Mytilus edulis: one gene and its partners. The protein of the gene in region 1 purifies or fractionates together with the protein of each later gene. This does not show direct contact. Links are inferred from orthologs where the notes say so. Each region holds a gene or a part of one and is shown on either strand. Other genes may lie near its edges.

Region 1 (5,937 bases):
TTCGCAAATATCAAAATCATCAAAAGGACTTTAAGGGGGTTCGCGGGTCTAAATCATTTATATAGGATTTCTCTATATTTTTCTATAAATGAACTTTATCTTATAGTTAATAGAAAAATTAAATAAAAAAGTGGGGTCACCGTTCATTTTTGTTCACAATCTGCCTTCGAAAGAAGCATACATTTTTGTAAAGGTGTTTTTTTTCTGTTGAAGTAATAGGAGAAATAAAGTTAATATCGAAATAAAAAAAGGAAATTTATTACAGAACTCGCTCAAATTTTACAATAATTTAGTTTAAGTACAGCTTATATGGAAATTATATTAAAAAATATAGGTCACCGATGAGTTAAAAAAGATATTTCAGTTTTAAAGCCAAAAAATGGCATTTTTCCACCAAAGGGAGATAATTTGGAACTTTTCCAATGATGTATGTATACATTTTAAAAGTCATCTTGGGCCAACACTAATTAATTGTTTTGAATGATTTTTGTACCATATGATAAAATAACAACTACAAAAGGTAATAAATAAAATTTGTAATGAAAAACAAAAGTTTAATTTTTTTCTGAAATTTTTATACCCTCGAGCCTCCTTAAGAGCTACGTTTTCGCAGCTAGCTTATTCAATGACCCATAGATAAAGGTATAAAAGTAAAGGTATGATTTATAATTTTCAAATTTTCAAATTTTTTCAGTGATAACTGACTGATTTTAAACAGTTAAAAAGTCGTCTTGATCAATAGCAGGTAACAGCCCCTGAACCACCTAATACAAAAATTTAAACCACACCATTTACTGATGTTTAAGTTTATGGTATCAATATAAGTTTATAATGTAATGACATACATAGAATTGTCTTATAACTTGTTGTTACATGCATCTTTATTTCATTTATATGTTGTTTTAATATTATAATTGTCTGTATTTGGATCACGCCTCTATGGTGCTCTTTCCAATAAAATATTGAATTGATAAATATCTTGGACAAGTCCTAGCAGCGAAAACGTAGATCTTAAGGTCCCTTTGATGATTTTTGGCCAAAAAAAATTCAAAGGACAATAGAGCTACGTTTTCGCAGCTAGGACTAGTCCCAGTATGTATGTATGTACTTCGAGATTCCACCAGCTTCGATGCACGCCTTGATTGACTGCAAGGGTACAGAGGATCCATGTCCACTCCCTAAGGATTATAGAGATGTGTCCTTTACAATATTATCCCCCCACCAAAAAAATCCCCACCCAAGGGAGCATGTAGGACACCGGGAAGTCTGTTATTATGGTGGAGGAAGCTGAAATACTCGGAGGGAACCACCAGGCTTCTCGGCGGGAACAGACAACCCAAAAAGATTTCAGAAGATCTATCTCCAGGTCAAGCTGGGAACAACTTTAAGTAAGTAAGTAAAACTTTATTTGGATTCGGCATATTGACAAACAATACAAACATAAGCTCTAATGAGCTTTTCACCTACCAAGGCCCCCGAAGTATCCAATCTAGTTTAAACTCAGGTCTGGATGCCAGATATGTGTGTGGGAGGGTGAAAATCACCCTACTGATGTACTAAAAATTCAAAATCTCGAGTTAGAATCGAACTCGGGACCTTCAGCACTGTAGCCATCGTTCTTAACCACCACAAACCCACATGCATGTACATGTATAGCTGCGGAACCGTAGCTCTTATTTCCTTATGCTATTTTTTTACTATTTGCGGACCATAGACCCAAATAGTCACAAAATAGCATAAGGACCTAAGAGCTACGGTTCCGCAGCTAGTACATGTAGTAAATTAAAAAAAAAAATCTTCCAAAGTGTATTTTTTACATTTTTTTAAAACTCTTTCACGTAAAAGGTAGATACTGCAAGAACAGATTTACTTTATATGATTGATTATATACCTTTATTACAACTTAGTTTCCTATAAATACCATAATCAGAAAACACATGGATTTTTCACAACACATGTGGTTATTTACAAAACATTCATCATAAAAGACAGATTTTATTGTGATGGTGTTACGTTCAATGAATTCGAGATTATCTGTCTTAAATCAAATAAATAGTATGATGCTTCATTATCAATTATTCGATCTGAACCCAAAAGACTTTAATGATATATTGTTGTCAATAACTTTTAAAGCAAGCATTTTGAAAAACAAAAATCTATCTTTTCTTCATTTCCAAATCAACATTTCCTGTTTGGTGGGGTGAAAAGTTCATTGAATGATTTAGGGTTCTTTCGCATTTTACTGGGATATATTGCTTAATTGTAAGTTATCTTTTGACAACCAGTTATAACCTCTTAGATTTCATAAGTTTAAGTTTTGATTAGAAGCTCGTCTTATTTGAAAATACAATCTTTTTCACTCTAAAATCATATGTTATGACTGAGTGATTCAAATCTGCTGCCAGCTTGAGTGCAGGTTACATAAACACTTTACCAAGAACACTATTACACCTAAGATTTTAAACAAATCAGATCTCCTGTAGTTGGTGATCGCAATACTGGTATACTGTTTCTCGTTTCTCGTTTTGTTTATATAGATTAGACCGTTGGTTTTCCCGTTTGAATGGTTTTACACTAGTAATTTTGGGGCCCTTTATAGCTTGTTGTTCGGTGTGAGCCAAGGCTCCGTGTTGAAGGCCGTACTTTAACCTATAATGGTTTACTTTTTAAATTGTTATTTGTATGGAGAGTTGTCTCATTGGCACTCACACCACATCTTCCTATATCTATTTTAATAAAAGTTTGTACCAGTATACACCTTATCGCTATTTGTCCGCCATTACTGGATATCACACAGGTTCCCGTCAAATTTTGACGTCATAAAACAAAATATCTGACGCCACAATGGAAAAGTGATTGTTGTATCAGTCTTCACGACGAACTTTTAAACCTACAGGCCCGGAGCTCAATTTTTGAAAATTTTTAGTTAGACTTTGTTGGCCTGTAGATATGATTTTTACAGGCCCAAGAGCAATTTTACTAGCCTGGGCTGCCACTCAGCGTGAAGACTGTGTATGCGTCAAAAGTTCAAGCGGCCGGGTCAGCCGGGTTTAGCGATAAGGTGTATTGTATTCCAGTATTGTACCAGTATTGTGTTTTTCTTAAATAAACAATACATATAGGTAATTAATCTTTTATCAAAGGTGTCACATATATGCATAATGAAATTAACATATGACATGACAATTTTATAAGGAATGATTGTATGTTTAACTGATGATGCCATTGATGGTACACTGCGTTTGTCATAAAAAAAAGTTTTGAATTTTCTGATGTTTTTTTCTTAAAATTGCTTAAGCATGTTAAGGGAACCGTACTGTCTCAGCATTTTAACAAACTCTTTACTTTCTTCTATGTTTTCTTTCGGCTCTCTCTTTCTAAGGCCAGGTTTTTTTAATTTGTTGGTTTACGGATTTTACCAATGAAAAAGTCGGGTCGGTCAGTCGGCAAAAAAAAAAGAAAAAAATATGCTATTTTGTCATCATTTCTTAGATTTTAGTTCGATGAAATCAGCTGTCATAAACATCGCATGACTTTCTAATAATTTTCCGTACACAAAAAGTGGACGGGGACTGCACGGATATCGTCATTTCACAGACATGAAAAACAGATTCGCGTAGCTCTTAATCAATTCCCGATAACTTGGTGGGCTTGGTGAATTACGATATTCAAGCACGAAAACTGATAAAGAAGAAAAAATGTAAAAACGTCGTGCGAAAATAAGTTTCAACACACATGTCAACAAACGTAATGGACTCGTCCACTGGAAAAACGAGAATATCGGATTAATCTGTTGTCATGCATTCCCGTTTTTTTGGCCAAATGGACGATATTTTTTTATGATCTATGAAGCGAGAAAATTTCAAATGATTTGTTAATATTTAGTACTTTAACTAACTTGACGTCTTCTACCTGTCCACATTTGGACAAGTCTATTTCTATCAGATGATGCATCTTACGGACTGATGACAAGTACAGTAAACAAATTGATTTTGTAATTGGTTTTAAACACAGGTTTCGTTTCGCAAAATTATTTGCGCAAACCACATTTCAAGGTCAGTTAGTTATAATTGATTTGTCTATTTTTAGAAACGTAAACTGGAAGACTTTATTTTTTTCACTACAGAAAGTGTTATCAATTTTGATAGTGATTAATGCATTTCATTTCATAAAAAAAAAAAACGAGTATTTTAATTATTTTTTAGGGATAATGCATTTGTTACGGTCGGCGGGAATAAAAAAGCATGAAAAGTGAATTTTATTTTTATTCTGGAAATCGGCAAAATCGGATCGGCGGATCCGTAAACCAACAAATTAAAAAATTCTGGCCTAAGTCTCATAGTATATTTTAGTGTCTATATCTTATTAAGATGGTATTTCTGCAAATCCTCCCTCCACACTTCCTATATTGATATTTAGGTATTCAGTCTCTGTGGACTTTCTTTTACGCTTACTAGATTAAAAGTTTTTTCAGATAGCACCTGTACAGCTCTCTTACTGTCGGAGTGCTTGTCTCACAAAAATGTATAAGTATTTGTACCAGAAGATATATCTGTTACAAATTGTATTGTCCATATATATGGTTCTGAAGTGACTACGGTACTTAAACTACCCTTAACAATCATATAGACAAACTAGTTAATTTGATTATAGTCAGGTTCCTTTATTATGCAACTTTTTATGTTTAAGGGATATTGATATCTTTTATTGTGAAAGATGAGAAAATAAAGACCAACAAATGCATATGATCTTACTTAGTATATCATGTATATACAACATTTGTACAATGTATGCTAAATTTACAGTGTCAGAATGTAATACCGACCATGCAAGGGCTGTATGGCCAGTCAAGGTTGTTAAAAACTTCCATTTGTTAGAATGTAATAATTGGCTTGAATTTATTAATAACTCAGATAATAAAATTTTTATTTTATCTAAAGTGAATTTAATAAATTTAAAAATAGAAATATGATAAAATTATTAGCAATTATTTTACATAATTAACAATTGTTTGAATAATATGAGATAATTACAAGAATCTTTTTGTATAAGTATAGTAATTATTTTTAACTGGTTGTTAATTGATTTCACAATTATCCCCTATAATCTGCTTGGCTTCATTTAATCTCACTTTGATCTTCAATATTTAATTTTGTTTAAAATTCATTTTTCATTATAGATCTTAAAATATAATCAACAATACAACTACAATACTGGTATATCAGTTATGTACCAGTATTGTTGTTTTTAAAAAAAAAAGTTACAATACTGGTACAAAATTTGTATACCAGTATTGTGGACAATACTGGTATACCAGTATTGCGATCACCAACTACAGGAGATCCCAATTAAATATTTCCCTTTTTATGAAGCCTTATTTTATCTGTGAAAGAGAAAAATGGCCCTATGAATTCTACATGTCATGTACATGTATCATAATTGAAACATCTTCATATTTTTCGGTCTCACTAATAAGCGACAAGAAGAATTATTTAAGCGACAAGAATTCATATTTTTTTTATAAATATTACTTATTCCAAATAAATATGGCTGAAACTACTGGGCCAAGTTTATTATAGATAGAGATAATTGTAAGCAGCAAGACTGTTTAGTAAAGTAAGATGTACAAACACATCACCATCACCAAAACGCAATTTTGTCATGAATCCATCTGCTTCCTTTGTTTAATATTCACATAGACCAAGGTGAGCGACACAGGCTCTTTAGAGCCTCTAGTTTTATGTCTTCAAAAAGGTTTTGTATAAATGAATTCTGTTTTTTTATGAGTACAAAAAATAAGTAAGATATATACATTTTTACATTGGAATGATGATTTTTTTTGTTGTTGAAATATCAATCCTCTAAACTCTGTATTAAAATATTTGTCCTCCAAAATGTCTAGCAATTTGGTGACATTATCCTTAGTGTATCACTGTA
Region 2 (5,937 bases), on another chromosome or scaffold:
CTCGTAGAAATATTTGTGATAATACTACATTTTTGGCACCTTCCTTTAAAATTCATGTAACTATGACCCCTTTAATGAACATTATTGTAGTTTAACGTGAAATATGGTAATTTTTTCCACAATTTTAATTTGTTTTTGGCATAATCAACCTTGGCCGCCATCCACGATCCATATGTTGAAATCTTTTGATTACCAAGGTTTGGCGACCAAGGTTTTCCTAAAGCTTTAGGTCTGAAACATCATACTATTTTGACATAAAACTTCATCATGAGCTTACTTTCGGGAATATTATGTACTTTAATGAAATTAAAGAACTGATTGTTTAACATTAAGAATTTTGAAATACAGCCATTTATAAACCAAATTATGACCTTTTTGGTGTTTTATGATAAAGTTTATATTATAGACCATATTGTGCCAGAAGTGCTATTCACATAACCTTTTTCTTTTGTTGGATAATTTACCATAATTCATTTTGCTGAATTAAAAGAACCTTGGGAATGATGCAACAGAGAAATATTCTACAAATGACTCATTTGGATGAATTAAACAGTATGAACATCACATTTTATGTGAATAGAAGGTAACTATTAATTGTTAGAATTGTAAAATTAAATCACATGACTTACTTGACTTGAATAATCTTCTTACATCCCATGGAGAACATAGGGCGCAACCACAGTGGCTCTCCGTCTCTTCCTGTCTGCTCGGCTAGTTTCTTTGCTTTCCCCCATGTTTTTCCAAATGTTTTGTAAATCATATGTTAGATCTCCGCGCTTGGTGTTTCTTTGGTCGCCCTCTTTTGCCCTGGGGATTCTAATCTAGCGCCTGTCTAGTAACTTTTGTGTTGTTTTTAAGTAACCTGTGTCCATTCCATTTCCTTCCTTATGTTGTAATCGTTCTTTCTATTTGTTTTTGTCTTGCCTTTTTCTATAATTCTTTGTTGCTAATGGTATTTTGCCACTTGATTCCAATAATGTTTCTTAAACACCTGTTCATGGAAACCTGTGTTGTTTTGTAGACGTCGCTATTAGTCTCCAAGTTTCTGACCAAAAGAGTAGATTTTGCATTTGAGTTGTAGATCTTGATTTTTGTGTTTGTTCTGCGTGCTTTACTCCTCCAGACTGTTTAAGGATAGCAAAGGCTTGTTGTGCTTTTCTTTTTCTTGGTTGGATTTCTTCATCTGTCCCTCCTGATGTACTGGTGATACTTCTATGATATGTAAATTCTCAGATATCTTCACTTTCAGCAGCTCTCAATTTGGTTTGGTTAAGGTGAATGACCCCTTCTGTAGCCATTGAATTACGAAATTTTCAAACTACAATTGTATCAAAACAGCAGAGAAAATGAATAATACAGATGGGCCATTTTGTACATCTACCAAGGGGAAACTTCGTGCTCAGCATTATTATTTATTGTTTTATTGCATTTGATAGAAAAGGGGGATTTTGTGGCAAATAAAACCAGATTTTTGTAGAAACCCACAGACTTTAAAACCGAGATTTAAAGGGGCACTAGCTGCCAAATTCATGTTCACCAATTTGACTCAAATTCTCATATTTTATTAAAATAACAATGTAAAACATTTTTTCCAAACTATCAAAAGTATAAATTAAACAATTTACAGGACATGGTCTCAATAAGATGTAGCTTTTGATTTTTTATATATCTCGTAGCTAGTGCCCCTTTAAGTTTTAAAATTTTAAACATAGATCGCTCACTTATTTTTCTATGATGTGCTAGCGTTTATTGTATACAAAAAGTTTTAAACAACCTATAAAATCCAAAAAAAGTGCTGAGTCACTAAAGTCGAGTGCACCCTAGAAGGTGTACTTGAATTGGTTTATATTTATCAGTATTTGTTTTAACCAATTTTAAATATATAAACTTATTTTAAGGAAATCACTGCTAGCACTGCATCCAATAAGCATGCACCGAATTGCCAAATATGAGAGAACGTTATATCATCCAGATATATAGATGGTTATATACTGTACCGTCGGCAATGTCTCTATTTGTTGCCTATATTATCATGATAATTGTTAATTGTACATGACCCTGTTGGACCCTGATTGGAATAATGAAATAGTTGATATGATTTGATTCTACTATGACTTTATTTCCCAGATTCGTATGATATTTAGACATCGGTATGATATTCTGTAATCAACATTTGCCACTTATTTTAGACCTTCCCTGTATTTTGTGAAAATGTGTTGTTTTGTGGTAAAAAAAAATTTACCCAATTGAGTAGTCTCCCTTAGATTGTTTACAATGGCGACCGATGGCCAAGAAGTCGATTCTGAAATAAGAAATCAAGACGGTGCATTAGAAGCTTCATATATCTATGTGAAAGTTCTTGGACGTGGTGCTTTTGGAGAAGCAAATTTGTACAGAAAAACAGAAGTATATGTCATGCATTGTTACCTGTTACCTGTTACCTAGTCTTTATCTTCCTCCTCTAGCAGGAGCTTCGCTTCTATAGCGTAATTCCAATTTGCACCCTTATTTGCACCCTAACCCTTACACACGGGGCACTCATAAAATCAGTATACGTAGGTAGTTATCATAATAATTTTTATAACAGTAACATATATACAGCATGCGGACTAATCCATCACCATGTAGACGTAGTTAACTATATATATATATATACTCAGTCCAATCGTTCATAGCTGGATCACAATTATATCTCCATATAACGTAGTGTTATAGTCTATAATTAAAACACTCCTGCCCTCGCAATAGCATTTACTGTTCAAAACACTGTCCTTGGTATCTTTAAAATCTAAAAAACGTTTCACTGTTCATTTGGTAAGCAATTATTCCATATAAAACACGCTAATAAAATATTTAAAATCTAAAACCACTTGATATTTTACAAGCCTTGGATACGAGTTTTCAGTTCAAACACTATCCATCTCTCAATATTGCAGAATAAATCCTGACACAATCCAGTAAATGCGAATCAAATTTACTCAGACATTAAAAGTAAACGTTTGTGATATAGTTTGTAACACAGACCTCTGGTTAATGTCTCTATACGGACCTGTTCCTTGTAGGTAAGAAAATGATATGATGTACAGTCTATAATTAGATGTAAAAGATTCTCCTTGTCATCAAGTAGTTCTTGAATTAGCAAAGGTGGCTTATTACAATCTACGAGAAGAGATTTCAACTCTTGCATAAAGCGATTTCTTATGCTTGACAGTTTTTCACATTTAAGTATAAAGTGAGTCATATCTTCTGGTTCAATGTTACATAATGGACAGATTGCTGAGATACAGTTTTTTGAAAATCTAGACCTCTGATACTGAAGAATCATTATTCCGGTGGCAATTTTAACTTTAATTGCAGCCATATTAACAGAGTACGGGTCAGTCCCACTGCTTTTCCAAATATTATGCACAGTTCCTATGTTGGAATCATTAAAATTAATATATTTCAAGGATGACTTTTCTTTAGCTTCCTTCTTTAAATTTTGTAAAAAATGATTATTTATACAGTTATTCACAAGTCTATTCCAGCTTATTTTTGATGGTGGATTCTCAATAATATCATAAGGCGATGGCAATCCATAAATTAAAGTTAAATTGTGTAGTTTTGTAAACCAACTTTCAGATTTTTCATCTTTCATAGCCAATTGTCTAAAAGCAATTTCTCTTTCAACAGATTTATCATTTCTAATTATATTTCCAAATGTTTTCAGAATTTTCTTATGAATTTCTCCCTCTATAGGAATACGCCCTAATAATAGTAAAGTTGCAGCTATTGATGTGCGTTTAGGCAAGTGCTGAATTTGCTTTAATAATTGTCTAAAGAATAGTTCCATCTTTTGTATATCTGAATTTGAGAGCGATATGACATCTAAACCATATAGTAGTCTAGGTACAACATATATTTGAATCAAGTGTACAGAAACTTTTGGATTTACTCCATTCAAACCGTGTAACCCAGCACCCATAAGAGAGTATACAGTTTTCCTTGCCGTAGTAATACGCTTGTTCACAACTTCTTTAACCCCAGCATTTTTAGTTATATTTCTATCTATTCCAAGGTGAACTGCAGATTCAGAAAGTGTTACTGATTTTCCATTCAAAGACCAAGATTTTGGCAATTTATCGTTATATACTAATATAGTAGATTTTTGCTCACTGAGTAGATATCTCAATTTGTTTGCATGATCAGTAATTATAGTTGCATTACGCCATTAGTCTAGGGGTTTGAAACTGGTGTTTATGATTTATGTTGACAACCACCCCACATCTCTTCAGAACTGCATAATGACACCTCCCCTGTAAAAAAATTACTATAAAGCATCACAGCATACAATTAGATTGATTCTTACTCTGATTCTAAAGGAGGGGTAGTTTCTTTCCACACCTGTTCATTGATTTCGACATGTGTCGATCATTTCGATGTGATGGCCATACATTATGTACATGTTCATGTACTCGGATTCCTAATCTCCCATAAGATACATGTATATCAGCCATACTGTCACTGCCAGACCTTATAAATAAAATTTATTAAATCTTAAAAAAGGATGGACGACACTATTTAAAAAAAGTATTGATGATGTTGTCCTATGTACATCTTTTCTAGGACTTCTACTTCTACCACTAAGTGACCACCGTCATGAGTTGACTATTATGTCACTGTTTGGTGTGCGCTTGCAAACTTAACAAGTCCAAAAATAATTTAAACAAAAATGAAAAATTTTGTGCTGTATGTATAACATTTATACATGGTGCAAATAAAAACATGGGACTTGAAATTTAATGTGCATGCAATAGGCCCTTGAATGAGTCAGCAGCTGTCACCAAGGCAGGCAAAGTGTTCCAATCTCTTATTGTACCTGGATAGAACTTATTGTACGTGGAAAGAAGGACTCTTTCCTGATGCTGGTCTTGCATGATGGTATTATTGACTACGTGTGGCAGTCACATCCTAAATCGTACAATGTATACCTTATCGCTATTATAAGTTGACCTGAGAATCTGTACTGCTTGAACTTTTGATGTCATACAACAATCACTTTTCCATTGTGGCATCAGATATTTTGTATTATGACGTCAAAATTTTACGGGAACCTGTGCGATGTCCAGTATTGGTGGACAATTTCACAAATAGCGATAAGGTGTATTCATCCCAAGTCAATGGTCAATTTGTTCCTATTGATTTTGTTCATTACTAGTGGGGCTTTATGATTTGTTCCTTCTTTTTATGTTTATGGCTCCAAATACATATTAAAGTTTTTGTATAGATCAGTTTACAGTCATGACAGTGCATGCAATGTTGACAAAAGTAATTCCAGTAAAAAAAAAATTGCTTTTTATATTTTATATAAAAAATTTCGTGTTTTTCAATTATTATTTTGATTTATGGTTGCATTTTTGAAACAAACAATGTGTTGAGGATTTTGAAAATAAATAACTCAGCCATGATAATCACAAAAATAAATGGTTTGTTCTGTGGTAGTTTGAAAATAAATTACCTGACTTGCAATGTATTGAAAATAAATAACTCAGCAGGTCTAATCTAAAGTATGAGATGGCACCAGATTCTTCATAAATTCATCTTTTTCACCAAAAAAATCGGGAAACACTTCCCAATTCTTTTAATAATAAAAGTATAAATATTATTTAAATATACTTGAAATGTCTCCCAGCTGCTCCAAAATCTATATAAAAAAAAAATTGACACGCTCCGCTCGGCAAAATATGTTTCTCAATACTTTTAAAAGAGACGAGTTACAACCAAACTTTAATACTATGTATGTATGCAATACATTTATATGCAGTTGGGAATGATTCATTTTCTGCAGAAGATGATGATGATTAATACTGATTAAATGGTACATAATCACTTGACTATACATGTATTATTTATAATAAACAAATCATTTAAAAATTGTATGTTTTCGAATATCATAAA
Region 3 (5,937 bases), on another chromosome or scaffold:
ACATATTTTAAAGACTAGCATCTTGTGTCAATTGAAGTACTTCCCCCCCTTTTCTTCTTAACATGAATAAGATAATTCTTAAAACATAAAAGATACTGACAGAAACATATTTATAAACGTATCTTGTGTACTAGTGATGAATAAAATCCCCTCCTTTTCCACAATTCTAAGGGCTCATTAATTTATCTGTATTCATGTAATGCATGTCCAGATTTCTGTTAATCAAACAAGCATTACAACCCATAATTTATTTATCTGCAAAAATTGTCTGTCCTGCTGCATATTTCCATTTTGAATTTATCATACGTTTTAAACCTAGCCCTGATAAACCTTGCACTTAAGTATATTAGTATAAACACCATGTCTATTTGTGCCAACCTTTCAAATTTTTAATATTTTGCTATCCTAATTTGGTACAGATCCTTTATCCTCAAAACTTATCAGGGGCAGTAGGCGTGTTTGTATGGTAGTTTGTCACACCTTACATGTATGATTACTAGCCTCTAAGTATTGGTTTGAGCCCTAGTTGGGCAGTTGCAAAATTAAGGTTTGATTTTCATGTCATATGTGTTAAGGTTAGTCAGTTTCCTACCGCAGGTTGGCGTTTTCCTTCAAGTACTACGGTTTAGTACGCCACTAAAACTGACTGCCATGAAATTACCCATATGGTGTAGAAAGTGATGTTTATAAAACCAAGGCAAACAATCAAAGTTTTAAATCTTTGTCCATTTGTACAAGGAGCCGTAGTGGTTGAGCCATTTAACTTATGGTAATTTTACCAAACTGTGACCACAACTTCAAGATGTGACATCAGGCCTCTGTTCAATGGGCAGTCCCACAATAAACGTTCAATTTTCATGTCATACATCTTATATGGTTAATTTGTCAGTTTCCTGCCTCAGTTCTGTGTTTTTTTCTGGGTACTTTGATTTACTCTGCCAATAAAACTGACTTTCTTGCATGAAATTATCCATATGATATAGAATGTGACATTGACGGTTGACCCCTTTCAAAGAATCCACCAGCATGTACACACAACAATGCTGCAATGCTTTAGACAACATTGGTCTAGAGACTTCATGATTTACATGTATAAAGCTTTTGAATGTAAAAAAAAAAAAAAAAAATCCCTACCTACCTACCCACCTGCTGATAGTGTGGGTCGGCAATGCCAAACAAACAATTTTTTAAGGGTGGCCTCATAATTTAAAATATTTGACATCACAATTTAAAAGTGATTGTTGCTTGACGTCAAAAGGTGATTCGGAGTAGATCTAAGGTCATTCGGAGGCAAGATTCAGCTAAATACCAAAAGTGTAAATACGTTTAAGGCTAATGCCACTTTCAACACTTTTATGCTAATTTGTGGTGGTCAGTCTGGGATACTTACACCACTGCGGCCCTGAAAGTGAGGCCAATATTTAAATCACTTTTGCATATGAATATTAAACAATTCCTTTAAAATTATTGTTTCAAATGTTTGCCAGTTTGGTAAAAATCCTTATTATATAGAATAGAATAGAATAGAATAGAATATTTTTATTTCCCAAATTACAGGGCCCATAAAGATCATAAAATCAGATACAATTGATTTACATAATTGGTAACAACAACAATAGAGGCATATACATATATATTTGGAATATAAGCATTGGTCAGAATCAAGCTAAAAACCACATACATTGTATATATTGTGAATAAAAGAATAATAAAATTACATTATACATGTATATGTATTAATTCTCAAATTATTTACTTGACTTAGTGTCAGTGTTCATACCTGATCTCCTTAATTCAAAACAGTCACAAATATAACAGCCCAGTTTTTCCATAAGAGTATTATATATATATATATATTAATTGACTTAGCTGCGAAAACGTAGCTCTTAAGATCCTTTTGATGATTTTTGATATTTGCGGACCATGGCAAAAAAAAAAAGGACAATACTACGTTTTCGCAGCTATAATTGACTATGACATTCAATTATTGTGATTAATCATTTATTCAAATTATTGTTATCTTTCACATTATTTTATTTTTTATTGCATATGTGCCCTTAAAAGTTAACATTAGGTTTTTAGCCTCTTCACATGTCACACCTGTCTTGTATGTAATTATATACAAATGACATGTGAAACGATTTCTCCCACACCCAATACTGCAATAGATTCTAAATAACAAAAAAAAACATTTTCCAAATGACTACACCAGATCTTACCATTGTGTTTAGATAGTTGCAACTAAAATGACTAGTCCAGTTAAATCTTTTTCAACTGTCAATGCTTCGTCCGTTTACGCAACAGAAAACTATCAAGGTCAACTGATGTAAATGTGCCGGCTACAGAATCATCCAGAATACCGGAAGCACGTGTTGGGCCAGTTACTCTCTAATCGACATTCTCTGGTTTTATCAAATGTAACCCAGAAAAAGATTGAAAGGTCCCGAGATATAAAGGCATGTGCCCTGCAATCGGCAGGTATTAGAATAATACGCTAAATAACAACCATTTTCACGGCTTTAGGGAAACATACATAATTCAAGTTGGACATTGGAAATTAATTTGTGACCAGTTCATTATTTCCTTTATTTTTTTTTCTTAATGAGCCATATGTTGTCTTAACTTGTTGAAGAATAAATTCAAATATACCTGCTGAAGGGCCCGTTGTATCCCTTACGCATGCTAGAAATATATTCGCAAGTTCCGGTTACCATCAGCCACACTGCCTCAGCATACATGCGATCCAGCAGAGCAGTATTTGAAGGACAAGGCATTTAAATACACAGAAAAGTCATTACACACTAAAAGAATATTTAATTAAGGTAAACCTTATTATTGCATACAAATTTATATCAAAAGCAGCAAGTGGTTGAATTTAATTGCGTAATAACTTAAAAGTCCGACTACAACCACGTGGGTCAACGACAACGTCGAGCATGCATCTTTGTCTACTGTTTGTCCTGTATGTCGGCTTTGCGTTAAACTGAAATTCAATTACTATTATTGCATACATGCTACATCACAAGTCTAAAGTCAGTGTTATTAACGTTTTATATGGTCAATTAACTGAATGAACCATGTTCTGGAAAGGGAGACGTTATTTCATCAGACAAAATGATTACTATTCATTCTAAATACTGACCGTCGGGAATGTTCATAGTAAAAAGATAAGGTGTATTTGGGTGCATCCCACCCATTTCAATTAAGACTTGATATGGCCATGACGTCATTTGTAGTTACTTAATAAGTAATCAATATTAAAGTTGCATAAAAATGAACATGTACATGTATCTTAGATTTCTTTTCAGCAATGAAGATCGGTGCAAGAGTTTTTACCTTTGAAATTTTACAGTAATCAATGTTTTTTAAGAAGAAAAGAAATTGAGCCATAAAATAAATCTGTGAAGATGGGTTAATATTGGTGTTCAAGGAAATAGGAATAACTCAATTTTAGAGGTCAAGGTCTCAATTTACAGCTATTGGTAGCTGGAAATTTGGTATACATTTTGATATTCTGATTTCAACCTTTAGAATTTAAGGTCCACCTTATGCCTTACTTTGATTGAGTCCCGCCCCCAAATGGAAAGATGAATAGTCCAATAGTCATGATTTTTGGGGTCAAAGCTCCAGATCACAGAAGCTATTGATAGTCTGGAATGTGGGCATAATTTTTCTGAATATCTTTTGAGCCATTTGTTCACCTTATACCAAACTTGATTTGATCATGCATTTGTGGATGAAAAAGAAATATACATATTTGATTTGAGGCAACAAGGTTTAAGGTCAAGGTCAAATTCTCAATTGCAGATAGGAGTTGAAGATGTACCGATTACCAAGTATTCTTCGCCCTGCCCTTTCAAGGAGAGTGTCTCCTGCACTTGTCAGAACTTATGCCAAAGAGATAAAGTTTGGAGCAGATGCAAGAGCTATGATGCTTCAAGGTGTTGATTTGTTGGCAGATGCTGTTGCTGTTACAATGGGACCAAAGGTATATTCATTATATTTAGGGTTCAAATTTGTTGAATCAAATGGTAAAGTGACTATTTTAGCAGCTAAAGCAGATCTGCCTGGATGAAAATGATCAACAGGTCTATGTCCAACATCAGAGGAATTTTCAGAAAGTCAGACTACACAGTTATTGCCCCTGAAATATCAGGTTTTGCAAATTTCAGTTTTTGTTTATCATTATTTTTAAAACTAATAGATAGAGAGAAATTTTAAACAATAAAACTGTAGAGCAATAAGATCTACTAATAAGTTGAACTTGACAGAAATTGTCTAAAGACCTCTTATAGGAGTAATTTCTTTTCAAAAATATATTAAACTCATTTTGTCATCAATGTTAAATTTTTCCTGAATTTACTGGCTCAAATTTAACTAATCATTACCTGGATATTCCATAAGACAAAGTATCTTAAGTTGCAAAATATACATGTAGAATCTTGATCATATACAAATGCAGTTTTGACTAGTCAAAAACTAAACAGATAGCAGCAACTCTGATGTGGTATAAATGATCAGCAGCTCAATCACCTTATGAATCTTTAAACCAGACCATCCATTTGGGAGTATCCCATAAAATGGAAATTTTTAGTTCATTTCAAATTCTGGTACATGTATCTTAAAAACCAAAAAGTCGGTCAGTCTGCAAATCAAGGTTAGTTGGTGTACCATTAACAAGCACACTGTTTTTCTTCTTTATTATACCCCACGCAAATTCCTGCGCATGTTATAACATTTTTTGCCCAGTCTGTCAGTCCTGTTTCTTGTCATTGCAACTCCTCTCAAACCACACAACAGAATTACATGAAACCTTTGTAGATAATAAGGACATACTATGCAGATATTCATATCGACAGGAAATTACGATTCAATTTTTTTTTCTAGGAGTTATGCCCCTTTGAACTTATTTGCTTCAAGATACTACTGTAACAGTTTGTCATCGCAACTCCTCCGAGACCACACAACAGAATTTCATGAAACCTTTGTAGATAATAAGGACATACTATGCAGATATGCATATCGACAGGAAATTACGATTCAATTTTTTTCTAGGAGTTTTGCCCCTTTGAACTTATTTGCTTCAAGATACTTCTGCAACAGTTTGTCATCGCAACTCCTTTGAAACCACACAATTGAATTTAATGAAACTTTGTAGATAATAAGGACACATTATGTAGATGTGCATATTGACAGGAAATTGTGATTCAATTTTTTTTTCTTAGTTATTTTATTTTTCCAGTGACAATGTGGGGTATGTGGGCACGCTCACTAAGGTTCTTTAATTTTTGAAACCTTTATTTCAGGGTCGAAATGTAATCATTGAACAAAGTTGGGGGTCTCCAAAAATAACCAAAGACGGAGTTACAGTTGCCAAATCTATTGAACTAAAGGACAAGTATCAGAACATAGGGGCTAAACTGGTACAAGATGTGGCTAACAACACCAATGAAGAGGCTGGAGATGGAACTACCACAGCAACTGTACTGGCCAGATCTATAGCCAAGGAAGGGTTTGAAAAGATCAGTAAAGGAGCAAATCCAATTGAAATAAGACGAGGTAGATTATTTATTAAATGTATAGGAAGGTTAAGTAACCATATTGATCATTTCATTTGAATATTGTGATTTTTGATCCATTATATAGTTGATCATGATTGTGTTGACAACTTTGGCCAAATCAACATTTGGTCAGTCCCAGTAAAATCCTGTTGTTCAATGTTATTGCACTTTGACCTGATGAGAGGGGTTTAAAATCTCTGAACTTTATTATAAAAGTGCCATAGATGACCAGAACAGGGCTTCCAAAAAATATTTGAGCCAGCCGGACATTTCATATCTGATCCCGATTTTAATCCCTTAAGACTTAGTCACAAAAGGCAATTATGGTAATCAGATGGCCATTCCAATGATTGACATTACATTAAAAAAAAAAACG

The links.
Region 2: the proteins of activating molecule in BECN1-regulated autophagy protein 1A-like (region 1) and serine/threonine-protein kinase Nek9-like purify together in Homo sapiens (affinity purification with mass spectrometry; 3 studies listed by BioGRID and IntAct, with this or other methods). This does not show direct contact. The link is inferred for Mytilus edulis from reciprocal best matches to the Homo sapiens genes AMBRA1 and NEK9.
Region 3: the proteins of activating molecule in BECN1-regulated autophagy protein 1A-like (region 1) and heat shock protein 60A-like purify together in Homo sapiens (affinity purification with mass spectrometry, with the first as the bait; 3 studies listed by BioGRID). This does not show direct contact. The link is inferred for Mytilus edulis from reciprocal best matches to the Homo sapiens genes AMBRA1 and HSPD1.

The regions. Positions count from the first base shown.
Region 1 is NC_092353.1:44,532,589-44,538,525, forward strand, and holds the start of activating molecule in BECN1-regulated autophagy protein 1A-like, read left to right. Parts: upstream 1-2,169; 5' UTR 2,170-2,262; intron 2,263-5,937. UniProt on the Homo sapiens protein: Substrate-recognition component of a DCX (DDB1-CUL4-X-box) E3 ubiquitin-protein ligase complex involved in cell cycle control and autophagy.
Region 2 is NC_092346.1:18,565,324-18,571,260, forward strand, and holds the start of serine/threonine-protein kinase Nek9-like, read left to right. Parts: upstream 1-2,259; 5' UTR 2,260-2,274; coding exon 2,275-2,406; intron 2,407-5,937.
Region 3 is NC_092345.1:91,936,207-91,942,143, reverse strand, and holds the start of heat shock protein 60A-like, read left to right. Parts: upstream 1-2,413; 5' UTR 2,414-2,822; intron 2,823-3,807; 5' UTR 3,808-3,820; coding exon 3,821-3,988; intron 3,989-5,306; coding exon 5,307-5,559; intron 5,560-5,937. Other genes in the region: 10 kDa heat shock protein, mitochondrial-like, read right to left, coding at 2,220-2,222. UniProt on the Homo sapiens protein: Chaperonin implicated in mitochondrial protein import and macromolecular assembly. Together with Hsp10, facilitates the correct folding of imported proteins.